Rhinolophus ferrumequinum: one gene and its partner. The protein of the gene in region 1 interacts with the protein of each later gene in a pairwise test. Links are inferred from orthologs where the notes say so. Each region holds a gene or a part of one and is shown in the gene's direction. Other genes may lie near its edges.

Region 1 (7,572 bases):
GCTGACAGAGTCAGGAGAGAAGGCTGGGCTGGTTCTGCACCAAGGCCAGTGACAGCTCCTGGGCCCAACTCCCTGCTGAAATCCCTGGCGGCGTCAGACAAATGCCTGAGCTTTGCACCATCCAACTGGACGAAGTATAAATAATCATACTCCAAAAGAAAGAGAATGAAAGAATTCAGAATTCAAGAATTACTGTATGACCCTGCAATCCCTCTCTTGGGTATCTACCCAAAAAATCTGAAAACATTTATCCATAAAGACACATGTGCTCCAATGTTCATTGCAGCTTTATTTACAGTGGCCAAGACATGGAAACAACCAAAATGTTCTTCAATGGATGAATGGATAAAGAAGTTGTGGTATATATACACGATGGAATACTATTCGACGGCAAGAAAAGATGAAATAGGACCATTTGTGACAACATGGATGGATCTTGAGATTATAATGTTAAGTGAAATAAGTCAGACAGAAAAAGCAGAGAACCATATGATTTCACTGATATGTGGTATATGAACCAAAAACAACAAAAGAACAAGACAAACAAATGAGAAAAAAACCTGATAGACACAGGCCGGCCCGGTGGCTCAGGCGGTTGGAGCTCCATGCTCCTAACTCCAAAGGCTTCCGGTTCGATTCCCACATGGGCCAGTGGGCTCTCAACCACAAGGTTGCGGGTTCAACTCCTCGAGTCCCGCAAGGGATGGTGGGCTGCACCCCCTGCAACTAGCAATGGCAACTGGACCTGGAGCTGAGCTGCGCCCTCCACAACTAAGACTGAAAGGACAACAACTTCACTTGGGAAAAAAAAAAGTCCTGGAAGTACACACTGTTCCCCAATAAAGTCCTGTTCCCCTTCCCCAAACAAACAAACAAAAAAAACCTCATAGACACAGACAATAGTTTAGAGGTTACCAGAGGATTAGGGGGGAGGGGGGAGGATTAGGGGGGAGGGGGGTGGTAGATGAGGGTAAGGGGGATCAAATATACGGTGATGGAAGGAGAACTGACTCTGTGTGGTGAACACACAATGTGATTTATAGATGATGTAATACAGAATTGTACACCTGAAATCTATGTAACGTTACTAACAATTGTCACCCCAATAAGCTTTAATTAAAAAAAAAAAAAAAGAATTCAGAATTCAACCAGGCAGGAAAGCAATTAGTTGAAAGAAGTTAGCCTCTGCCCTATGGAGGGTTCCAGATTCAAAGCAAATGAAGGAATTACCGAAAGGTATAAATTGAACCTGAATAACCATCACCCCCTCTAAATGGCATGGATGCTAAAATTAAAAATAGAATGGCATTTAAAATCACTCCCCAACATGAAATATTTAGGTATAAATCTCACAAAACGTGTGTTAAGACTTAAATGCTGAAAGCTACAAAAGGCTGTGAAAGAAGATCTAAGTAAATGGAGAGACATACTATGTTCATAGATTGGAAAACTCAACGTAAAAAAGATGTCAATCCTCCCCCAAACTGATATTTAGGTTTAATGCAGTTACTATCAGAATCCCAGCAAGATTTCTGTCGATACAAGCAAGATTATTCTAAATTTTTCTATGAAAAGGCCAAGGAACTATAATAGCTAAAAACACTTTTGAAAAAGAAAAACAAAGGGGGAGCAACCATTCTACCCAATTTCAAGAGCTGGCTACCGTCATCAAGATTGTACTCTGTTGGTCGATAGACAGACAGATCCATGGAGCAGAATAGAGAACCTAGAAATAGCCCCACGCAAGTATGGCCAACTGAGTTTTTGACAAAGTTACTAGAGCAATTCAGTGGAGCAAGGATCATCTTTTCAACAAACAGTGCTGGAGCAAGGGATATATCTTAAAATAAATGGTGTTTTCAATTCAATAAAATACAGCATCTCTTGTACACCTACTCTGCTCCAGACACTAGTCAACGCAGTAGGGGTATAGCAATGAACAAAGGGAAGTCCCTGCTCTTGTGGTGCTGCCATTCTCATGATCCTGGCCCCAGGGAGAAATCCTGCATGCTGGAGAAGGAATGTGGGCACCTGAGGTCAAAGATAGGGTAGGAGCCCCCTCCAGGAAAGGAATGCAAGGCCATTGAACTTCATCTGGCTGGGTCCCTTTCCTTTTCTTACAGATGGCATAGTGGAAGGTTGCCAGCTTCCGAGGCAGACTGACCTGTATTTCACCTCCTGTCTCTGCCTGTGACGTAATGCTCATCTGTCAGTGAGAACAGGTGTCCTCACTTCATCAAGTTGTTGTGGGGTTGACAAACGGGGGTGCAATAAATTGGTGCAGCGTGGGGCCTGGTGCATGTTCAAGTGATGATATTGCCCTGTGTGCCCATGTGTCCTTCCAGAACCTGGAAGTGTTCTGCAGAGAAGAGCAGAGAGAGGTGCTGGGGGCGGGGCACGGCTGTTGGAGCAGAGAGAGGAAGAAAGGACCCTCCACTGCCCCACCTGCTATAGGCACCAGTGCTTAGCCAAACACCTTAGGAGGAGGGGAGATTCCCCAGTTTCGGCCAGTCTGGACGATCTAGACATACTCCCAATTTTCTATTTGAAGTTATGGATAGGCTGGGGGCTCTTTGTGCTAGAAGGAGTGATGGTTTATGTGGGTTCCAGTTATACCTCTGGAAAAATGAAACAGTAGAGGAGGGTAACAACCATCTCTACTGGGGAAAAAAGCTCCATGAAGGCAGGATTTTTGTCTGTTTTGTTCACTTTGTATCCTCGGTGCCTAGAACAGTGCCTGGTAAACAGGAGGCACTCAGCAAATACTTGTTGAATTAAGGAAACTGCTTTGGCTTATTCTTTTTGTGGCTTATTCACAACAAATTTAACCCCCAAAATGCTGAAGAGAAAAGGGGGAGAAAGAAAAAGAAAAAAAGCAGCCCAGGAGAACTAACACTTGGGGTAGAGCCCAACCTTCCGGCTGACATGCTGTGTGACAGGGGGCATGCCACAACCCCACTCTGTGCCTCAGTTTCCCAACCACAGAATAAGGACTGGATTTGGTGTTCTTGAGAGCCCTCCTAACTCTGACAATTGACAGCTTCCTCCTCCAGCCTCCTTTAGAAGCTCAAACTAGTCCTAATCATATGACGAGCCAGAGAAACTGGGTTTATTAAGACCTACTGTGTGCAAATAGTCATGTGGATGCATCAGAGTACCAGGTCTGGCCATGTCATCTACTGGCACAGAAAATGGGCTTTGAGCCTAGAAGAAGTGGTTTGGATCCCAGATCCCCACTTTATGGGTTATCGGGCCGTGGGGTACCATTTAGCTTCTCTGAGCCTCAGTGGTCTCATCTATAATGTGGGCATCATGATGTGACCTACCTCAAGGGTCCTCATGGGGCTGCTGCATGAAGCAGGATTGGAACTCAGTCCTGCCTAATCCCACAGCCTGGCTCTTAACGAATGAGGCAAATGCTTTGTTTCAAAGCCAGAGCAAATAAAAGCACACACACACAATCTCCAACCCCCAAACGTGCTCTGCTCATTCCAGATCCCCATGCACGCCTCTTCTGGGTATTCCCTGCTGGAACCATCAACCCACTAGCAGGGAGAGCCTGGCACCAATGGCCCAGGTGCAAGCACAGCTCTGTGGTCGAGTGAGTGTCCTGTGGGCAAGCGTGGCCCACTGCAATGTCTAGTCTGACACCCAGAGGCCCTAGCGAGACGCAGCCATCCTGGAGTGTACAGGAAACACTGGCTCCCTGCTCTGCCACACACAAGCTGTGGCACCTTCGGCAAGTCGCCTTTCTTCTCTGAGCCTCTATTTTCCCTTCTATAAAATGGGTAGTAATAATAAACCCCTTTATACTTTGTATTGTAGTAATATGTAGATGTGATAAAGTCAGAAAAGCTTGTGTCACGTGGACAGGCAACTAATGCATGTCGTAGACTGAAGCAGGATGCCTTTGGTTCAAATTCTGGCTCTACCGTTTTGTAGCTGTGTATCCTCTCTGAACCTCAGTCTCTTCTTCTGTAAAATGGGATAGTAATGGTATTGATGTCAGAGAGCTGCTGTAAGAATGAGATGAGGGAATAATAATATCACCTACTTCGCAGGCTTGCCTTAATGAATTATCCCAGTGAAGTGCAGAGAAAGGTGCCCAGCACATAGAAAACACCCAAGAAGGGTGAGTTGTCATGTGGGTGACTCAGCCTGGGGAGAACTGTCCCAAGGCAGGTTAGTCTTTGCATGTGTAGCCCGGCATGTGACCTCTTGCCTAAAATCTCCCAACCACCCTGCGATTCTCGCCTTCTCCTCTCTGACAGCCTGTTTGCATAGTTATGCAAGGTTGGCTGGATCCAGGTGTTCGTGACCCCAGGCAGGCATGGGGTTATGCGCATGACAACCCAGACCTGCACCCCCACACCCAGGCTTCCTGAACCCTCTGCCCTTCCTGGAAAACTGACAGAGCCAGCTTGTCACTGATTCTGGCACTGACGCCGATGAAGTCGAGGGGCAGCTCTGAGAGTACACACCTGAGACCTGAGTGGGGAGGGGCTAAGCTGCTGGGCCACAAACCACAGGTGCTGACTCATGGCCTTCAACGGGCAGGATAAAAGAACTAGCCCAGGGACTTCCTGCAGCTGCAGGGACGAGCTGACCGGACGATGGCCCAGGGGACAGTGATCCATGTGGCCCCAGAGCAGCCCACCCATGCTGTGTGTGTGCTGGGCACCAGTACTCAACTGGATGTCTACAGGTGAGTGGGGACGTCTCAGGGGTGGGGGGCAGGTCCAGTCATGCTGGGTGAACAGGTTCTGATGGCACAGGATGTGTGGTGGCTCAGGCTTCAGGCTCCAGCCTCTACGGCGGCTACCAGCTGGAAACATGAGACCTGAGCAGCCCCAAGACATTCCTGGACTCAGGACAGTGGATTCTTTGCCAGGGCCTCACCACAAATAAATTATTACAGGGCAAACAGAACCATCTCCTTCCATTATTGAGGCAATGGAAGCTCAGAGAGGGTCTGTGACTTGTCTAAGATTACACAGCACGTGTGCCTTGGAAGCAAGGCTAGACCCTGGACTTTACAACCCATATACCTGGTTCATGGTGCAGTTTGTGACCCCACACCTCTCAGGTAAGCCTCCCTCTGTGGGGGCATAATGGTGTGGGTGTAATGAGACAGGCTCTGACACAGGAAAGGCTGAGGTGGGAAACCTGGCCCTGCTCTTAGCTATCTGGGCTGCTTTGGATAACTGAGCTTCAGTTTCGTCATTTGTGAAATGGGATTAATACTCACTTCATAGGGAGGTTAAAGAAATGTGAAAAACCAGGTAAATGTTTGTTAAGTACTTAGCACAGTGCTGGGCATATCCCTGGTACTTGTTCATTCATTCATTCATTCATTCATTCATTCATTCATTCAACAAATACCAGTTGAATACCTGCTATGAGCCAAGCCCTGTGTGAAACGAGATGGTCTAGGAAAGCTCTCAGCAGGTGCACATGGTTGGCATCATTGTTGTTTGTTAGTAACAGTACTGGCAGCCCCTGGCTTCCTCCATCCCAGGCTGGGCATCTGTGGTCCAAGAATGGCACCCACAGGAAAGTCTGGGGCATCTCCTTAAAAGTGTCACTTGTTGCCTGAACCAGGCAGCGGGAGAACAGCAGTAAATGTCTGGGTGTCTTCCCAGGACATAGAGGGGAGGCAGGACACTGAGAGGGTGAGGTGTCAAGGAAAGAGAGAGCGGGCCTGATGTCATCGGAGGGCCTCTCCCTCAGTGAGACATTGAGCCCAGCCATTCAACCCCCTAAGATCTCACATAATAATGGCCGACATTTACATCACACTTCCTACACATAACTCTTTCAACAGCCTTTACTGTTATTCCCACTTTACAGAAGGAGAAGCTGAGGCTCTGAGAAAATTGAGTAACCCACCCGAAACCACACAGCTAGTAGGTGAGGGAGCCAGGATTCAAACCCCTGCAGCCTGGTTCCGAAATCTTCCTCCGTTCCTGGACCAGCCTGTCCCGTCACCTCTAACTTGCCTTTCATAGCAGTCCCCAGCCAGTGCCTTTGGCCCATCTCCTGAACAGCCACCACTCTCGCTGTGGCCTGAATTCTCCTTCTGGAACACATCTGGGATTGGTACGCCCTGCTCAGCAGCATGGCCTTCTCGACCCCCTCCCAGCACATGCATGCCTCCACACCCTTGCTCAGGCTGTGCCCTCTGTCACTGGTCTCAGAGCCCCCAGGGTTAGAAAGACAAGGTCATAGAGGCAGGAACAGACCACAAGTGTGCGGACTCCTATTCCAGATCTGCTCTTACAACCTCTGCTTGTAGTTTTCATTCTGTGTTTGCAAAGTACTTTTCCTATAGTGGGAAGTACATTGGTTATATTCAAACAAAATTCCACTGACCTGAGATGAACATGAAAACCTATCCAGGGCCTTCTGTGATGCTTGTGGCTACGGTCAGGGTGGTATCATGACCCCAGCTACTATGTGCCAGGACCTTCTGTCATGATTTCTAATACTCACAGGAACTCTATCATCATGCCCATTTTAGAGATGAGTAAACTGAGGCTTCGAGAGGTGAAACCACCTATCCAAGGTCACACAAATCAAAGGTGGCAAAGCCAGGAGATTTGAACCCAGGACCATCTGATCCTAAGTCCACCTGTCTCCACAGCACACACTACCTCCAAGTGCTGAGGGGCTGGCCTCGCTAGGCACTGCTGCCTGGTTGGTGGAGATCATGCAGCTTCCATAGGGCTTAGAAAAGGCTTAGAATGGTGTGGGGGCATCTAGAAGTTGCCGACCACAGAAGATGGTGGGCATTCTGAAGCTGCCAGCCATGGGCTTCTCCTCTTTCTTCTAGGGTCTCCTTCTGAACAGGAGACCACTCAGTGTGACGGGGGGAGCATGGAGAAATCTGTTAGTGTCTCTGGGCCTCAGTTTACCCATCTGTAAAATGGGAAAATTAACACCCACCCTGCTGGGTTTTGGTAAGGATGAAATTATAAAACGCAGGCCAAGTGTCCGGCAGAGTGGTCCCCGTTTTCTGTAAGGACAGCATGTGCCACTGAACATGAGAGTGTGGCAGACACTAAGTGTCGCCCAACTGCTGGTCATTGGTAAGGAAATGTTGGATGCAGAAGTTGGAGGGATGATGTCACTTGTCTCGGGCCAAGATCTCAGTGCTGCCTCTACAGAGGCCATCGGAAGTTACAAGGAGACTCAGCTCCAGATTATCTTGTAATAACACACGTGGGCGCCGCCGCCACACAGTGGAAAGGCCCGTATAGGTATGAAAGTCCCTAGAGTCAAATCCCAGTGGTGCCACTTCCCAGCTGGGCCTCACCTCTCTGCACCTCAGTTTTCCCATCTGGCAGAAAGGTGGCGGTGAAGCCTGGAGATTGTGGCTGTAACGCCCTGGCAGGTGGCAGACCCACCTGTCTGCATTCTTCTCCCTGCCCCGGGCAGGAAGCCACTCAGGGCAGAGCGAACCTAGGTGGCCATCTGCCTTCCAGCCTCATCACGTCTTAGTGCCTCACATAAGAAACCTGGGCGTTCCTCTCCTCCAGTCGAGCAAGTCTATTCACTCTGGCACCGCCTTCT
Region 2 (7,355 bases), on another chromosome or scaffold:
CTCTGGGTGCTTGTAAGATCATCTGTGTGTCTTCAGTCTTCCGAAATTTTATCATGATGTTCCTTGTTCTGTTTTTGTCCATTGTGCTGGGCTCAGCAAGCACTTTCAATGTGGAAACACATGTCCTTTATTTCTAAAAATATATAATTGAATTATTTAGTTGATTTCTTCTCCTCTGTTTCCCAAAAGTCCTGGACTGGATTTTTAATTTTCTCATCCTTTCATGCCTCTTTCTCTTCTTTTTGCATTTTGTCTATATATTCTAGGATATTTCGTCAACTTTGTCTTCCTACCACTCTACTGAGTTTTTCATTTTTGCTATCACATTTTTAGTTTAAAAGAGCTATGTTTGGTTTTCTGAGTGTTCATTTTTTGGAGAATCTATTCTATTTTTATTCTGTTTTATTTCTCAAGGGAGATCAGTAATAGATTGTTCAAAGTTCTTTTTCTCTCCATATATGGTCTTTTTCCCCCAAGTTTCTTTTTTTTTTTCTGTTCTACATTTCATGTCATATTCTTCCTTTAAATTCTGATGTCCTTCAGTTGTCCGCTCTTATCTAAGAGTGCCAGATTTAGCAAAACAAAATAAAACAATAGAATACTTAGTTAAATTTAAATTTTAGATAAACATTTTTTAGCATAAATGTGTCCCATGCAATATTTAGGACATAGTTATAATATATAAGTATTTTATACCTTAGTAAAAATTTATTTTTTGTTTATCTGAAATTTTAATTTAATGAAGTGCCCTATATTTTACTGTACAACCCTAAGAGAGATCTAAAATGCTGCCTGCAAATTTCATACGTGTGTATATGTGGGTGGGGCTTGACTAAAGTGAGTCCACGAAAGGGTTCCTCCAGTTTCATTCAGTAAGATGATAGTCTCTTTAGATCCTTACTCCTCCCCAAAGAAGAGTACAATATTCCAAACTCCCCATCTTAGCTGCCAGTATTCTAGTAGCCAAGTGAAGAAAACTGAGCTGCTCAATATTTATCATATTAAGTTTCATATAGATCTTCAATTTCAGTATAGTTCCCCTATCCTCATGTGGTAGATTAAAGGTGGTGGCAATTTTCTTTGTGAGTCCCCCCCAGTCAGGAATAGAACCTAATTGTCCTTCCCTTGAACCTAGGCTGGCGTTAGTATTAGGTCGGTGTAAAAGTAATTGCGGTTTTTGCAATTATTTTTAACCTTTTAAATCGTAATTGCTTTTGCACCAACCCAATAATTTGCATGACCTATAGGATGCAATAGAAATAACATTCAGGGGCTTCCAAGCCTAGATAATAAGAAAATCTGTAAATTCTTCCTGGATCTCTTGGAGTATCCTTTGTGGAATCCCTGCGCCTTCATGTAGGAAATCTGACTATGTGGAGAGTGTCATGTGGAGGGAAGACGCATAGGAGGTCTGACAATTAAGTTTGTGAACTTGTTGCAACACTGTTGCTAACCTTTTTTGCTATCAGAGAGATTATTCAATCTGAATTTGTACCAACTGGACAAACAGTTAACCAAGTTTACTATTTGTAAGTGCTGAAAAGACTGCGTGAAAAAGTTAGAGGACCTGAACTTTTCGCTAACAATTCATGGCTCTTGCATCATGACAATGCACCAGCTCACATGGCACTGTCTGTGAGGGAGTTTTTACCCAGTAAACAAATCACCGTATTGGAACACCCTCCCTACTCACCTGACCTGGCCCCCAATGACTTCTTTCTTTCCCCAAAGATAAAGGAAATACTGAAAGGAAGACATTTTGATGACATTCAGGACATCAAGGGTAATATGATGACAGCTCTGATGGCCATTCCAGAAAAAGAATTCCAAAATTGCTTTGAAGGGTGGACTAGGCGCTGGCGTCAGTGCATCGCTTCTCAAGGAAAGTTCTTCGAAGGTGACCGCAGTGATATTCAGCAATGAGGTGTGCAGCACTTTTTCTAGGATGAATTCGCGAACTGAATTGTCTGACTTCGTAGGTGCTCTGGTGGACAGTGCCTGCTGAGACCAGCCTTCCAGCTATCCTTGCCAGTATATCACATGCTGGACATGTGAGTGAATCCTCCAGACTGGCCTCTCTGCCAGCTGAATACCACCAAGTGACCTTTGTTGATACTACATGGAACAGAACAATTGCCGAGGCAAGCCCTGTCCAAATTCATACCCACAAAATCATGAGACATAATACAATGGTCATTGTTTTAAGTCACCAAGTTTGGGGATAGTTTGTTAGGCAGCCTTCGATAACCAGAACATCTTAACCACACCTGGAATGTCCCATGCCAGAGATCCTCTGCTTTATCCCCTCCAGAGGATGTTTCCAATCTTCTGCCCAAGTTGGGGAGAAGCAGTACCAGCTGTGCAGTGTGGGAAGGGGTGGAGGAGTCTGATGGCTTCCTGTACAGACTTACAAAAAAATCCTCCTGTTTTTACTACATACCCACTTTCAGAAGTACCTGGTGTAGCAAATTCCTGGGTATCCTGAGATATTCTACAATATCGTGTTACTTCTCACCTTTCCCTACTCCTGTCTTAGGAGTCAGTTTTCTCAAGTCTGCGAAGTCCATTATCACCTGTCTAACTACTTTCCCGTTTCCAAAGTTTTGTTATTATTTTCCTCTCTTTTCCCCTTGTCCTTATGAAATTAAAAACAAAACAAAACAAAACTACTATTGTTTTAGGTGGATCTCCAAAGGGAGCTGAAGCAAATACATGTGTTAATTCTGCTGTCTTTAATTTAAGGCCTCCTTTGAGTCTTTCATTTCAACAGTTATATTAATTTTTAAAACACCCCGTCTTAGATCCGGTTCCTGGAAGCAGAGCCTGAGATAGGGATTCTTGTGTAAGTACCTTGGCGAGGGAATATTCTCAGGAGAAACCTGTAAGTGAGAGAAATAGGGTAGTGCACAGGAGGAAGTAGAGCAAAGATGTGGTTTCTGCTGAGATTTAGCCTCACCGTAAGCCAGTGGGAGATCTGGAATACGAAGGGTATCACAGGTTTATCCCTGGCCTTTTGTACCCCATTAATGTTAGCTTCTGACTGTGGCTTCCCAACCTGGTCTAGTAAGTGATCTTGTCAAGGTGCTAACAGCATTTGCTCCATTCCTCACCTTTTTTTTTTTTTTAAGGTAGCTAATTTGTTATTTTTAAAGGGATGCAATAGTCTCTCTGATCTCTCTGAGGAGATGAATTGTCTGTATTTCACTCTTTTTTTCTGTTTGTCTTGTTAATTTTGTTTTCTCCTTAGTTCAATACACTGAAGTGCAGAAACTAAGTTTTCAAGCACGAGAAAAGCAGGTCTAGAATCCACATCAGTTTGAACCTTGCTTTTAACTTTGTCATCCCACCTCCTTTAGCTACATCTGAATGAAATCACTTAATGCTACCCCTCCTGCTTTAAAGATGCGAATAGCCACTTGGATTTTGGTCTGTTGGATAGCAAACACACTTCCCAAAGCTACCTACCCTTTGTTAAATAAAATCGGAATTTGCCTGTAGACTCCACGGATTCATTCTGCAAGCATTCCCTGAGCACCTACTGTGTGCCAGAAATAGTACTGGGCACGGGTGCAAAGACCACCCAGACTCAGTTGGTGCCTTCAGGAGGCTTGTGTCAGGGAGACAGATAGGAACACGTTAAACTGTATTAGAAGGGCGAGTGCTGCGCAGAGCACCCAGTAGCTGCTGATGAGCACCAAACCCTGGTAATTTAACAGGTGAAAGCAGAAAGATCCGGGGTTCCTGCTAACTCCTATCCCCAAAGGTTTCCCCAAGGAAAGGGAACTCGGTTTTCCTCTAGGGAGATGTGGAACTATTAGGAACTCTTTGGAATGCATGTTTTAACGCGCAAGAGGGAAACGAAATGAGCCACTCTGATTTGACTTTCCCCTTTTCGGGCCGGTTTAGGCGTGAACCCAGATGTTGACCGAGTAGGTGCAGTTTCCCCAGGAGGAAGATTTGACTCGCCGCGGGACTCCGGACTCCAGCGCCGAGCTGGGCACGGCGGGCGCACAGCGGGACGGGAGAGACCCGGGGGCTGGGACCTACGGTACGGGGATTGGGGCGCCCAGGCCCTCGAAAAGTGGACAGTGCAGGGGCCCGGACTCCGCGGGACAGGAGCGGGCTGGCCGGTGCGTGATCGGACGCCGGGAGAGCGGGACTGGCCGCCGCCCAGGGGGCAGGCACGTGCCCTGTGCAGCCCCCGGCCCGGGGGCGAGGCGGTCCGGGGCCCCGCTCCAGGTGCGCTCTGCTCGGGAGGATTTTCCGGTCTCGTGGGCAGAGGAACAACCAGGAACTCGGGCTCAGTCTCCACCCCGAAGTGGGGCGGGTCCGCCGGGGATAAGACCCGCTGCCTGGCCGGGACAAGGGTGTGACCTCCGTGGCCACTGAGAACAACCGCCGCCTCTTCTCGGCAAGAGAGGTAAGGGGGCCCCGGGCGCGGGGTCTTGGGCTCGGGGAAGGGGAGCCTCGCGGGGACTGCCTGCCCCGCCTGCGCCGCGCCGCGGAGGGTTCTCGCCGCCCTCCTGCGAGCGTGACTGGGGCAGCATTGGGTGGACGGGAGGCCGCGGGCGGCCCGGGACTTGCTCCCTGTGGAGAAGAGGGAGGCAAACACGGCCTTGATCCAGAAGGCCCTCCACAGCGGTTTATACAGGATGCCAATCAGGGACCACAGCTGTTATGTATTGAGTTCACGTGCCAAGCACTATGCTGGGTTTGGTCATTGGAAGCAAAGGACTGAGTTAATATTCCGTGAAATTTACTCAGTCCAACACCCAAATTTTACTTTTTAATTCTCTCCTTGCTCCTTTTAAGAACTTGACTCCTTTCTCCTAATTTCTTACTTTTTCTCACCTTCTGGAATATCTAATGCCATCAGCACAATGCCTGACACATGGGGATCTGTTATTATTTAATGAGATCCAAGACTTCAGTCCGTCAGTGGCTCAGTTTCGTTATTTTGTCATGGCTTTTACCAGCTGGAGACTTTGGGACCAAAGAGGTGATTGCTTTTCAACAATTTGCCCACCTTTAAGTGCTCCTAAGTTGATGCAAGTGTTCTGTGAGTTGTTTGGAGCAAGCAGAAGAGAAAGGGGACAGGAATCAGAAATGGGTAACCATTGCCACCCAAGACCTATTTATTTCCCAGAGCCCTGTCTAGCCAAGGCCAGAGCCCCTACATTCAGCTTAGGTCAGATTTCTATTGCTTTGGGGACATACACATGTACACACACACACACACACACACACGGTCATGTGCAAACACACAACTACTGAATCAAGGGCATTTCCTTCCTAGACGTTCTTGCATTTGTTAGGGATCATTTTTCTCCGCACGCACTTTATAGCGTATCGTGCACAGTCACCGAGCACATCAGCCCTCAATAGCTGAAGGCTGAGCTTCTGGTCCTCCCCAGACTCATGTCTTATGGCCCGTTTCTTTGCTTATTTCTCATTTGTTTTCCCCATCTTGCTCCTCTTCTTTGTAAACTAAGCCTGCTCTTCTCCAAGGGAGATGGAGGTGACTGGCAGGCACTGCAAATGGTAGGCGGTGGCCAGGGAGTACCTGAAGCTTCAGAATAAATAAGACCTGGAGGGGATTTTTCCTTGGGTGTCAAATTTACCGAAATATTTGAGGATAAAAACACTTTTTTTATACCCTCATAGATACATTCTGGAGTAGAATTCAAAGTTTAGATACCTTTTTAATATAAAACAAGAAATGTCAAAAAAAAAAGAAAAATCACATGGGCCTTCAGCTGTGATTTGGCCCAAATCTAATCCTTGAGGGTTTGCTTTCACTGCAATTAGGGCTACTTCTGGAAGCAGTTTGCTGGCGCTCCAGTGTCCTCCCTGGAGGGACTTCGAGTAACAGTCATCTTAGGTTACTCCTTTAATCTTTATTTCAACCTGAAGTGGGGTTATTAACCTTGTTTTACAGATGAGGATCCCAAGGTTCCAAGTTGTGGTCCTTGGTCAAGGTCAGACCACTTATAAACAATGTAGTCTCTCTGCCCTACTGTGGCTCCATCAGTGCTCAGTTCATAGTGAGGTGAGGTTTGGGTTTGTGGCTTCCTGGCTTATTGACTAAATCTTGACCAAATATTTTTCTCTTCCTCTTTAACTTTCTTCTTGTCAAGCTGACATGTGAAAGAGCTGCAGCTGTTTCAACTAGAGAGGGTAGATTGAGGTGGGTGTGGGGACATATTTTAATAGCCCTAAATGCTTGAAGGGCTTGGCTGGTGGATGAGGGAATCAACTCATTCTTTGTGGCACTGGGCAGAGCTGGGTAGGAGTTTTTTGGATGGTAGCTTCTGGATGAATTTAAGGAAGTGACTTTTGAAACCCTGGGTAGGCTGGGTGGGCTTGGAGTTGGCGGGAGCTCTCTCACCAGAGGTATCTAGGCAGGGGCTCCACCTCCCCTTTCTGATGGAGCTGTGAAGGGGTAGAAGGCTAAACTAACACGACTTCTAAAGCCATAGTTTCCAAACTTCAGGTACATCTCCAGGAAGCCTGCACAACATGCAGATTTTTGCCCAACTCCCCAAATTTTATATCTAGATTGACAGGGTTGGGCCCAGAAATCTGCCTGTTTAATAAGCCTCCTGGATGATTATAATTCAGGTGTTTCTTGGACCTTGCTTTGACAAACTAAGCGTTAGAAACACTTCTATGACTATGTGTATGCCTGATAAAGCATTAGCAAAAACATAGGACTTATGTGAATTTAGGCCTGTCAGTATACTATAAATTCTAGGTAATATGATAAATGCTGAAACTGTCCCCATTCTCAAGTTCTTTATTATACTTATCACATCCAATTTACCCTATAATTTTGCAGTGCTTAACACCTCTAGACCAATATGGAGTTCCAACAAAATATTTTTTGTTTGTTTTTGTACTTAATTGAAACCAAGGTGGCTCACTATATTTAGATTAATTTCCCTAAGATAAATAAGTACTAGGGATATAATGTACAATATGCTGACACAGCTGTATGATATATAGGAAAGATGTTAAGAGAGTAAAGCCTAAGAGTTCTTTTCACGAGGAGAAAAACATTTCTTCTCCTTTCTTTTCTTTTTATTATATCTATGAGATGTTGGATGTTCGCGGAACCTATTGTGGCAATCATTTCACAATATATGTAAATCAAACAAATAAAAATAAAGTTTAATTTCCCTAGGAATTTAGGATTTTTATTTAAGGCCTGTTGTTGGTTTTATGAGAGTAACTTGTTAGTGTTCAGTTATGTTTGAACTGGACTGAGAGCTTTTGCTATGGGAACCTGAGCCACCACTTCTGAAGAATTCTTTTTAAAGGTTCAAGATGTTTGAGGTCAGTAAATTGCCATACTG

Evidence for each region. The genes of interacting proteins can lie anywhere in the genome.
Region 2: the proteins of PADI4 (region 1) and ANXA4 interact in binary tests that used the Homo sapiens proteins (3 or more experiments, as listed by UniProt). The two-hybrid records come from large-scale screens. The link is inferred for Rhinolophus ferrumequinum from reciprocal best matches to the Homo sapiens genes PADI4 and ANXA4.

What each region holds. Positions count from the first base shown.
Region 1 is NC_046292.1:11,371,864-11,379,435, forward strand, and holds the start of PADI4 (protein-arginine deiminase type-4), read left to right. Parts: upstream 1-4,516; 5' UTR 4,517-4,613; coding exon 4,614-4,705; intron 4,706-7,572. UniProt on the Homo sapiens protein: Catalyzes the citrullination/deimination of arginine residues of proteins such as histones, thereby playing a key role in histone code and regulation of stem cell maintenance.
Region 2 is NC_046296.1:21,137,632-21,144,986, reverse strand, and holds the start of ANXA4 (annexin A4), read left to right. Parts: upstream 1-4,266; 5' UTR 4,267-4,420; intron 4,421-7,355. UniProt on the Homo sapiens protein: Calcium/phospholipid-binding protein which promotes membrane fusion and is involved in exocytosis.